Nothobranchius furzeri: one gene and its partner. The protein of the gene in region 1 purifies or fractionates together with the protein of each later gene. This does not show direct contact. Links are inferred from orthologs where the notes say so. Each region holds a gene or a part of one and is shown on either strand. Other genes may lie near its edges.

Region 1 (4,428 bases):
GAATGAAGTCCGAGACGGCTGACAACTCTCTCATCTTTATTAAGTCTTCCGTTTTCCCAATTTATTGTACTTTCTTGCCTTTTTATGCATGCTCAGAATGTTAGATTCTCTTTTTAGTAATTTCAGTAACAATTTGGTGGCCAACACCTACAGAGTTGTCTCATTTTTAATCCCACAGGAACTAAACAGAGAATTCTGGAAATCAGCAATGCCTATGAGGACGTTTGTTTCCCGTTCTATGATACTCGGAGTTCCTGCAACTCCTTAATTAGTTTTTTGATCAACTAAAAGAAATTACCAGTTTTGTCATTTGCATGACGACTATGTGAAAGGTCCACTGAGCCAAAACCATTCTCCTTATTTACAGCTTAGTTGTTTTATCGTCTGCAGAGATAAACAGAACAGGATGGATTCATAACCACAACAGTATCTTAGTTTCATCAGTTGCATTTTGTGATTAAAATTATTTTTAACTCAACTGTGATGCATGAGGAGGGATAAGCCTGGCCTGTCTGGTGGGGTCGTGGTTTGAAATGGTGTTTTTTTTGTTGTTGTTGTTGTTTGTTTTGTTTCTTGCATTTACTGTAATAAAATGTCCCAACCAGGAAAAAAACATCAGTCAGGAATCACGGCTAGAATGAAAGCAAATATCTTACTTTGCTGGAAGGCTTGAAGCTCCTGATTAGCCAAGGAGAGCTTCTTGCGCTCGTCTTCCAACGTGCGGGTCTTCCTGCTGAGTTCGGCGTTCTGAAGGGTCTTGACTTTGGTGTGCTGCTGCAGTTTCATCACCTCACTCATCAGAAACTGGGTCAGACCCTCTTGACCCTCCTCCACTGATTAGAAGAAACAGGAAACAGAAGGAGAACATGGGTGCATCACAGTTTGTGAGAAATGCACTTCTTAAAGCTAGAAATCTGACCCCAACCATTACCGGCGAGGCACCGCCAACACACGCTGCAACTGGTTTGATCTGTTACATGCTCTTAGATTGCTCTGTCAACCCAAAAGTGTGTGGGCCTTACCTACGATGGTGGAGAAGCATCTTGTGGGCTCTTTCCCAGTCACCACCTTGTACATCTCAGGGTAGTAAAACTCCAGACTCTCCAAGAAAGCCACATAGCCACGCTCTTCTTTAGTGCGAAGGATGTCAAGTAGACGGCCTGGTGCAAGTTTGATTAGTGCACTTTATATTCAGCACAGGAACACATCGAGTTAAAGACCAAGTTCACTTGTTTTTCAACACATTTGCAGCAGTCTCAAGTATAAATTAACGTCCCGTGAATCGATCTCTGTGGGGAAAAGCTCTCACACTCCTGTTTCAGGAAGTAGAAGTGAGCTAGAGGAGAGGTGAGCAGACGACGGTAGGGTTTGGAGACATATATCCCGATATTCTGACATCTCGCCTCTGATTGGCTAACAGATGTACAACTCTTCCACCGCCTTTGTTCGCTCTTCTTTCTGAGCTAAAACACGCAACGCTGATGTGTTGTTTCCTGATATTCTGACACCTCGCTTCTGATTGGCTACTGACGCTACCACCGACTCCGTTTACTGCAACACTGATGTTTTATCTCCACAAACAACACAAACCTGAATGATTTCTGCCATGTTGTGGAGTTGCTAATGCTAACGGTTAGCTTCTATTAGCCATAACACACTCTGCCCTCTCCTTGGCAGGAAATCGACACAGTCTTCCCCGTCGCAAGCTATGATGGGTGAGTCCATGATTGCTAATAGTCAGTATGACATGAATTAGCCTGGGTTTTCAAAGCCGAGCAGTTTTTTTTTTCTATTTTCAATCTGTTTCTCAGTGAACTTTGTCTTTAATTTAATGGCAGAAGTAGTTGAAATAAGTTAAAATCAAACCAGTGTTAACACAGCTTGTTTTAATGCAGGAAAATGGAGATTTCTGCTCACTTGTGCGGTTTGCTTTGGTGTGGAGCAGCAGGGAGTTGAGAATCTCATCCTCATCCTGTTCATCCAGGACTTTGCACTGACGGAGGTAGGGGGTAAGCTTGGCTGGGGTGATGACGCGACACAGCTCGTAGCGCTTACACTCCACTCTGTCCCACAGCACATCCATGTCCTCCACCGTCTCATTCTCCATCCCACACAACCTGAGAGTTGGTAAAGCCACCGATTCATTCAGCAGAATTGTCGTTGCATGCTAATGCTGCACAGGTGCTTCATGTTTACTGGTTTTTCACTCATGCTGAGGAAGTTCTCACTAACCCTTGCCGTTTCTTTTCATTTCCTAACGTTAATGTCCTTTGAGCACAAAAAAATGCACCTACAAAGCTTCCCATAGAAATAGTATTTAATATTTCATACGTCCCAGTTTTTTTGAATTTCATCCTTGGCTTCAGCCCTAACAAAATATAATAAAATATGTGTGTTCCTCAGATTTAACCCCTTTATTGCCAGGTTTATTATCATAACTAGAACTTTGAAAACTGTAAAAAAAAATCTAATCATTTTTGGTGTGTTATGTCCAGATGATCTTTTTTGTGGGTAAGTTGTCACAGCCTTGGAGTGTCACAATGTCATGGTCTGCGTCTGCGTCTCCCCTCATGTGTCTCCTTGTGTTCTCCGTCCCTCACTAGGTTCACCTTTTGTGTCTCCTAGCGCCCTCATGTGTCCTTGTCTGCGTCTTCCTCTTGTGTCTCCTGGTTTTCCCCATTTGCCCCCAGATCTTCAGCCCTCTAGGTTTCCCTCCTCAGGCATCCCCCTCCCAGGTCCTGTGCTCCCTTGGCCCCCTTTAGTCACGTCCCTGTAGTTTTTCTTTCTGTAGTGTTTTCCTGTAGTTTCAGCTTCCCCCTTAGAATATTAGTTATGTTTGCTGCCCTTCTGGTCTTTAGGGTTTTCCCTTAGGTCATTTTCCTTTAGCTACAGCTGTTCATGTTATTAGTCTCTTTAGTGTGTTTTTCCCATCGGTGTTTGAGGTTTTTCTCCCCCCTTAGATTATGTTTCCTACTCTTCTTGTCTTTAGGTTTTATTCTTAGGTCATGTTAGTTTCCTCCCTGATTAGTAACTCAGTTCACCTGGTCTCTCTCTCCCCACACACCTGCAGTTCATCTCCCTCTCATCCTCCCCAAGGTATAAAACCCTGTCTGTGTAACAGTGTTTGGTCAGTCCATTGTTGTCAGCGTTGTTTTGTTCCTTGTCTCTAGCTTTTGTGCTCTATGTGAGCTTTCATTCTCCAGGGTTTCAGGACATTGATTTTTGGCTTCCTGCCCTTTTGGAATTTTTTGTTCTACTTCCTAATAAAGGAATGTTTTCATTTACATCCACTCCTGCCTCATGTTGTTCTGGGTGTCTGCATTTTGGGTCCAAACCTCCTCCTGACTCGCAACGTGACACACAAATAAGCATAAAAATATTTTTGCTCACTTTGTAGTTTTTGTGTGATGTCATATTTTCTAAAATACGCACTGTTAAAGTCCTTTGAGCACAAAAAAATGCATTTACAAAGATAGCCAGTTGAACACTTATTTATAGCACAAGAACAAAGAAAAAGTGTGTGTGTGTGTGTGTGTGTGTGTGTGTGTGTGTGTGTGTGTGTGTGTGTGTGTGTGCATATATCTGTTAATGCTTATAAACTGTTATGGGAATTTGGGGTCATGTTGTAAAGCACTTTGAGTGGCAGTTTGCTTGAGAAGCGCTTTCTACATAAAATCTTATTGAGTGATTGATTGATAACTAATGAGGAGTCTTTCACATCACTGTGGAGATGTTTGTCTCTTACAGAGTTGTTGTAATTCAGCCACACTGGCAGCTCTTCCAGCATGAATGGCCTGTTTAAGGTCAAAGGTCACATGGTCAGATGTTCTGGATGTTCTGGTAGAGAACATACTTTATGGTTGCATCAGCTACGGCACATAAGATAAGATAAGACACATCTTTATTGTCATTGTCACTTTTTCCAGGTGCACTGCAAACGAAGGTGCGGTTGACTCACAAGCATAAAACCAATGAAATCAAAAAAGGGATAAAACCAGAATAAAAAGTCTGCAGGTATATACAGATTGCACATATTTTATAAAAGCTCTGTGCAGCTGACCTGTGGTCAGTGTTCCCATCTGCGTTGGTTATTCAGAAGCTGATCCTAAGACGGCTCTGTATCTTCTCTCAGATGGGAGCACTGCCCGGGCTGTAATGGATCCTCTGAGATGTCTGTTCCTCTCCTGCAGCAACGGGGGGGTGTAGATGTCTTTCAGAGTAGGAAGGGTGCAGCCAATTGTTCTCTCTGCTGCGCTGATGGTCCTGTGGAGTGCTTTCTTTTCCAAGGAAGTACAGCTGCCATTCCATACACACACAGTCCGTTTGTCAGTGTACTCTCTCCGGAACAACGGTAGATGGCAAGCAGCAGATTTGTGGGAAGGTGGTTCTTATTCAGGATTCTCAGAAAATACGACCTCTACTGCGCCT
Region 2 (5,093 bases), on another chromosome or scaffold:
TATGGTTCAGATACTTCAAGTTGAGCATGTTACGTTTCAGTTTGGACTGTTTATTGAAATTTCCAGCGATGTCAGATAGAGATAGACTATAGTGAAATTTACTTTCATGTCTAGAGAACTAAGTTATAATAAACTCAAAGGTTATCAAAAAGTGGTCCAACAGGATTGAATTGTGTGGAATTACTGTTATTTTCTCACACACCATAAGTCAGCACACGGTCTAATGCATGTTGGCAGGAGTGGGTGGAGCTATGTGTGAGTAAAACCAGTTGAGTCTAAGATATTACTAAAGGCTACATTGAGGCTATCATTTTCAATGTCCACATGAATGTTAAAATCCCCCACTACAATGACCTTATCAGTATTTAGCACCAAATCAGATATAAAAAAAAAATCTGACATCTGATCCAAAAACAGAGTTAGGGCCTGGCGGACAATATAAAACTACAAACAAAAGTAGTTTTAGAGTTTTGTAATCTGGATTAGGAAAACTAAGAATATGATGTTTAAAAGAACTGTAACTATTAATTGGTAAAAGGTTGATTAATAGGTCCGAATGAAAAATGGTTGCTACTTCTCCTCGCCCTGTACTTTGAGCAATGAGACGATTTAAATAATTAGACTCATTTATACTAAAAGTCGTCTTGCTGCAGCCAGGATTCTGAGAGAGAGAGCAAAGTGATCTGATTATCACAACTCAAGTCATTCACTAACAAAGTCTTTGAAAAAACAGATCTACTGTTCAATAAACCACATTTAAATTTTCTAGTTTTCTGCTCAGTCGAATTTGTTCTAATTTTTTAGATTCCCACGATTTGCTCTATTAAGCCTGATTTTTCATCTGTTTGATTGTGGGTGGGTAACAGCATAGATGTGTTTATATACATATCTATGGGTAACAGTAACAGAAGCTGCAGAGGGGTGTGTTAAACTACGTCCTGGTCTGGATCCTGGACTAATAAAATTGGCCATGTTCCTAGACAGAAGAGCTGCTCCATCCAAAGAGGGGTGGATGCCGTCTCTTCCATTAAAGTGTTTATTTCTTCACATCCTGAACATCTCTGATCGAGTGGGAGAGGTGTTGTGTTAAACAGCAGGTAGAGAATGCACCGTGTGAGCTTCATGCAGCCAAAGAGTTCACAAGAAACAAGATAGCTCTAGTACAAGATAGTCCTCTTCTAGACAAATTAAAAGCATTTTTACAATTCTTAAGTATTTATACTATGTTTTGTAAGAACTTTTCTAACATTATGTCTGACACAATAACGTAAAAGTATGAAATTTGTAAAAATTGGATTTTCGTTCAAATTTAAAACCTTTACTTTTTGCTATTTATCATATTTTGCTAGCTAGCATTAGCAGCTAACAAAGATGCGTCGCCCTGCTTTTCTCAAACTAACAAATATTGTGGCTAGTACACATGAGAACACATGTAGAAATTTGGGAAAATGCCCTTTGTACTGAAAAACGCTGTAAAAACGTTTAAAATAAGGTGCAGTTGGCTAAAATTCACATCAACCTGTCGACATAATGCTACAACTATCTTGTCCGAAACAACCTTCAGCTGGCAAGGGGAAATCCAACACGGGCGTGCTTTGCTCACTCGTACGTCTTCCAGGAAGTTCAAACCTGATGTGTAACTTTATTCATGTTTTTCTTCGTTTATTGATCGAGGCTTGACTGCAGTGAAGTGTAGCTCCGGTGTGTACAGCTCTGTAGCTGGCTGCCATGGCGGACTCCCTGGACAGGTCCACGAAGATCAGCTCACTGAAAGAGTCGGTGGTGAAGAAACTTTGTGAGGTTTTGGATAAATCAAACAATAACGGATGGCGAAAGTTAGGAGAGATTGTTGGCAGTGACAAAAGATTTAAAGTAAGGTAGGTTGATTCAGTTGTTAGGATCTCTTCAAGAGACTGAAGTTATTAGGTTATTATAAATTAATTCAGTTAAAAGGTATTAATGTTTACTGGATAGAGGCGATGAGCCTAATTATCAGCTGTTTCTTAAATAAATGTTTAGGGTGTGTACTTTAGTGTTTTGCAGCAGTTTTTTGCCATACATGAGTGTGCATTTGAACTAAAATTGGGTATTCTATTAGAAAATACACGTTTTTTTTAATTAAAAAGTGTTTTTATTCCAAATTCCACCTAAACTAATCGTTTTGTGTTTTTGAAATTAGTTTTATTAGAACTAATCCGTTTAACAGTCAGTGTGACACATCATTAAGATTGTGCATCTTTTCCTGCATCATCCTCCAGCTCGGACGACATGGAGATGTGTTCTCTCAGGGTTCTGGAGGTGGAAGGAAGCCCAAGCCTGATGCTGCTGAGGCTGATGGGAGAGCGAGGATGCACCACGGGTCACCTGATGGACTACCTCCAAACTCTGAGCAACTCAGAGGCTCTGCAGTGCCTGAAGCCACCAGGTACAGGAAACCCCACACCAGCCTAATATCAAGCTTTTAGGTTATTTGACTTCTACATGGCTCATGGTTTGTCCCACCAACACGCCACACATGTTTATAAAAGGTGCCGCTCTGTAGAGCGATGTTCAGTTTAGGTTTTTCTAACTGCATATATTCTTAAACGAGGTGATCTTTCTGGGATGGAAAATGCAGCAACACATGAAAGTATTGTGAGAAAAACAAGCAGGATGCTCTATAATCAAACGTTTGTTTCAACCTTTTACAGTACTGCAGATCCTCGTTCAGCCTCAGTCTGTTGCTCTCATATGTGGCCATAATCTGCGCCTGAGCTGCTACGCCGTGGGAAGATCTCCACTTCAGTACCGGTGGTTTAAATCAAGAGAAGAGGTGAGTGTTTTTGGAAAGAACACAAACAACAATCTTCAGACTCAAACTGGGAGAATGTCATGAGCGTCAGCTGATGATCGGCTGCCCTGAAACACACGCCGTGCATTTCTAGAGCAAAACTGTTTTTTATATGGTGTTGCAGGACAAGTCTAATTTAGGGTTTTCAATAGGAGTAATACAGAAATACACTGTTTGCATGCTAGGATATCCTGGGAAACCTGTGCTGCATTTTCTGGAATGATGGTGACAAGATGTCATTCTCATGTGCAGAGCTTTAAGATGGTTGGGTGATTCTACAAAATGTACATTTTTTGGTTATTTAGGAGGAAAACTTTTCATCTGAGAGCTTCTTAAACAAAGACAGCTGGTAGGGAAACAGAAACATGCTGCAGATTGTTTGGAGCCTCTTCTAAATGAATATTTGTCCGTTGCTGCATGAAAACAAATGGATAAAAAAAAAAAATAATAATAATAGCTACGTCTGACTAGCTTTTTCATAAGTTTGTCATATGTTGCTAGATGCATCAGATTAATAACTAATATCTGATCTACAGTTGATGCTTGCACCATAAAAACTGTATTTGTTTAGATCAGCCATGTCCAAAGTGTGGCCCGGGGGCCGTCTGCGGCCCTCTGATTGATTTTGTTCTCTGGAATTTTGACTCCAGCAGGCTGCTGACGAAGGTCGACATTTTTAACATTTTTAATTATAAACAAAATCACATATTTATGGCCCTCAGAGACTTTTAACTTGATCATTTTAGCCCTTTTCTTTAAGAGTTTTGACACCCTGTATCCTCTTTATGCTGCGTTTCTGGTCTTTTTCTTTCAAACATTATTATCTTTTTACATTTTCTTAAACATTTTATCTGCAGCTTTTACCACCAAACACACATTCCCATAACTGTGCCGTCTCATCAGCTTTTAAGAGAAACACAAACAGTAAACCTGTCTGGACTTGGGATGCCCGTCTTCTGCAGCTTTAGGACAAATCCATGCGTGCTTGTCTGAGGCAGGAGCTTTTCCTTTCACTTTCCCCTCTTCCTTTACCGAGACCATGCCAGTAATTAGTTTAGATTAGGATTAAGCTGCACGATAATCTGGTGGCTTTTCTCCTTGTCAGATTGTTTTTGTCTGCAGTTGCTGTGGTGAGAAAATGACTCAGTTTGATATAAACTTTAAAAAAGATTTTCTGCTCAATAATTTGATTAAAGTGTGTCGTGTGAAGAGAACCAGGAAGTCAGGCACACCGGAGCAGGGCAACGGCATTCCAGAAAAAGGGCCTGGAAGCAGACGGCTTCTCACCCTCACCAACATCGTTTTCTTCATGCTGCTCATAATAATAAATAAGTGAACTTTACATTTGCTCTGTTTACAAAAATCAATCTTTTCCATAGGTTAGACTTTCTTGTAGTATTTCAAAAGTGGTTATCAGCCGTTCTTCAGGGTTTTAGAGCCTATTTGAATATTTCTCTTTAGACTTTTGGCTACATTCATGCACCTCGTGACTTTAATCTTGAGAGGTGTTTACATGAAAAGTAGTTTCTTCTTCTTTCTACGTGTTGTGCCTTAAAGGTGAGGAGAGTGGAGGTGTAAAAACGTTGCCTACTGCAGAACAACGTCATGTTTCTAAAAGTTTCAGCAAATCCAGACACAACCTGAGGAACACGTTTATAAAGACTTCGGACACGTTCTGAATATCTGTGTAAACTACATGTTAGGTACTAACATTCATTTTTGAATGTGAAAGTGTGTTACATCATATTTGTATAGCTTCAACTAAAGAAACGGGACCAGATGGTGTCCTTGTGGCTCGTTACTACAAGATGTTCTCAGGATTGATGACGAGCGTAAAATCCCACTTTAAGAAACTTCCAAACGGGAAGTGAAAATAAAAGAGAGTAAAACAGTGTGTGTGTGTGTGCGTGCGTGCGTGTGTGTGTGCGTGTGTGTGCGTGTGGGTGTGCGTGCGTGCGTGCGTGCGTGTGTGTGTGCGTGTGTGTGCGTGTGTGTGCGTGTGGGTGTGCGTGTGTGTGCGTGCGTGCGTGTGCGTGTGTGTGTGTGTGTGTGGGTGTGCGTGTGCGTGCGTGCGTGCTTGTGCGTGTGTGTGTGTGTGTGGCGGCTGGGTTGATGCTAAACTACTTCCCAACATGAAACCATTTCTTATTCCCAGGTCCCACATGGCGCTACTCCAGAACTGTTGATAAGTCCCGTCCGGCTGGAGGACGCTGGCTTTTACATTTGCAGGATCAACAGTGGAGATGTTTGTGAATTCAGCCAG

What was found. The genes of interacting proteins can lie anywhere in the genome.
Region 2: the proteins of card11 (region 1) and malt1 purify together in Homo sapiens (affinity purification with western blotting; 6 studies listed by BioGRID and IntAct, with this or other methods). This does not show direct contact. The link is inferred for Nothobranchius furzeri from reciprocal best matches to the Homo sapiens genes CARD11 and MALT1.

Annotation. Positions count from the first base shown.
Region 1 is NC_091752.1:65,221,907-65,226,334, forward strand, and holds part of card11 (caspase recruitment domain-containing protein 11), read right to left. Parts: intron 4,150-4,428; exon of another isoform or gene 4,061-4,149; intron 2,301-4,060; exon of another isoform or gene 2,118-2,300; 5' UTR 2,108-2,117; coding exon 1,918-2,107; intron 1,161-1,917; coding exon 1,023-1,160; intron 834-1,022; coding exon 657-833; intron 1-656. UniProt on the Homo sapiens protein: Adapter protein that plays a key role in adaptive immune response by transducing the activation of NF-kappa-B downstream of T-cell receptor (TCR) and B-cell receptor (BCR) engagement.
Region 2 is NC_091757.1:57,799,768-57,804,860, reverse strand, and holds the start of malt1 (mucosa-associated lymphoid tissue lymphoma translocation protein 1), read left to right. Parts: upstream 1-1,591; 5' UTR 1,592-1,728; coding exon 1,729-1,877; intron 1,878-2,258; coding exon 2,259-2,425; intron 2,426-2,690; coding exon 2,691-2,812; intron 2,813-3,870; exon of another isoform or gene 3,871-3,960; intron 3,961-4,040; exon of another isoform or gene 4,041-4,172; intron 4,173-4,985; coding exon 4,986-5,093. UniProt on the Homo sapiens protein: Protease that enhances BCL10-induced activation: acts via formation of CBM complexes that channel adaptive and innate immune signaling downstream of CARD domain-containing proteins (CARD9, CARD11 and CARD14) to activate NF-kappa-B and MAP kinase p38 pathways which stimulate expression of genes encoding pro-inflammatory cytokines and chemokines.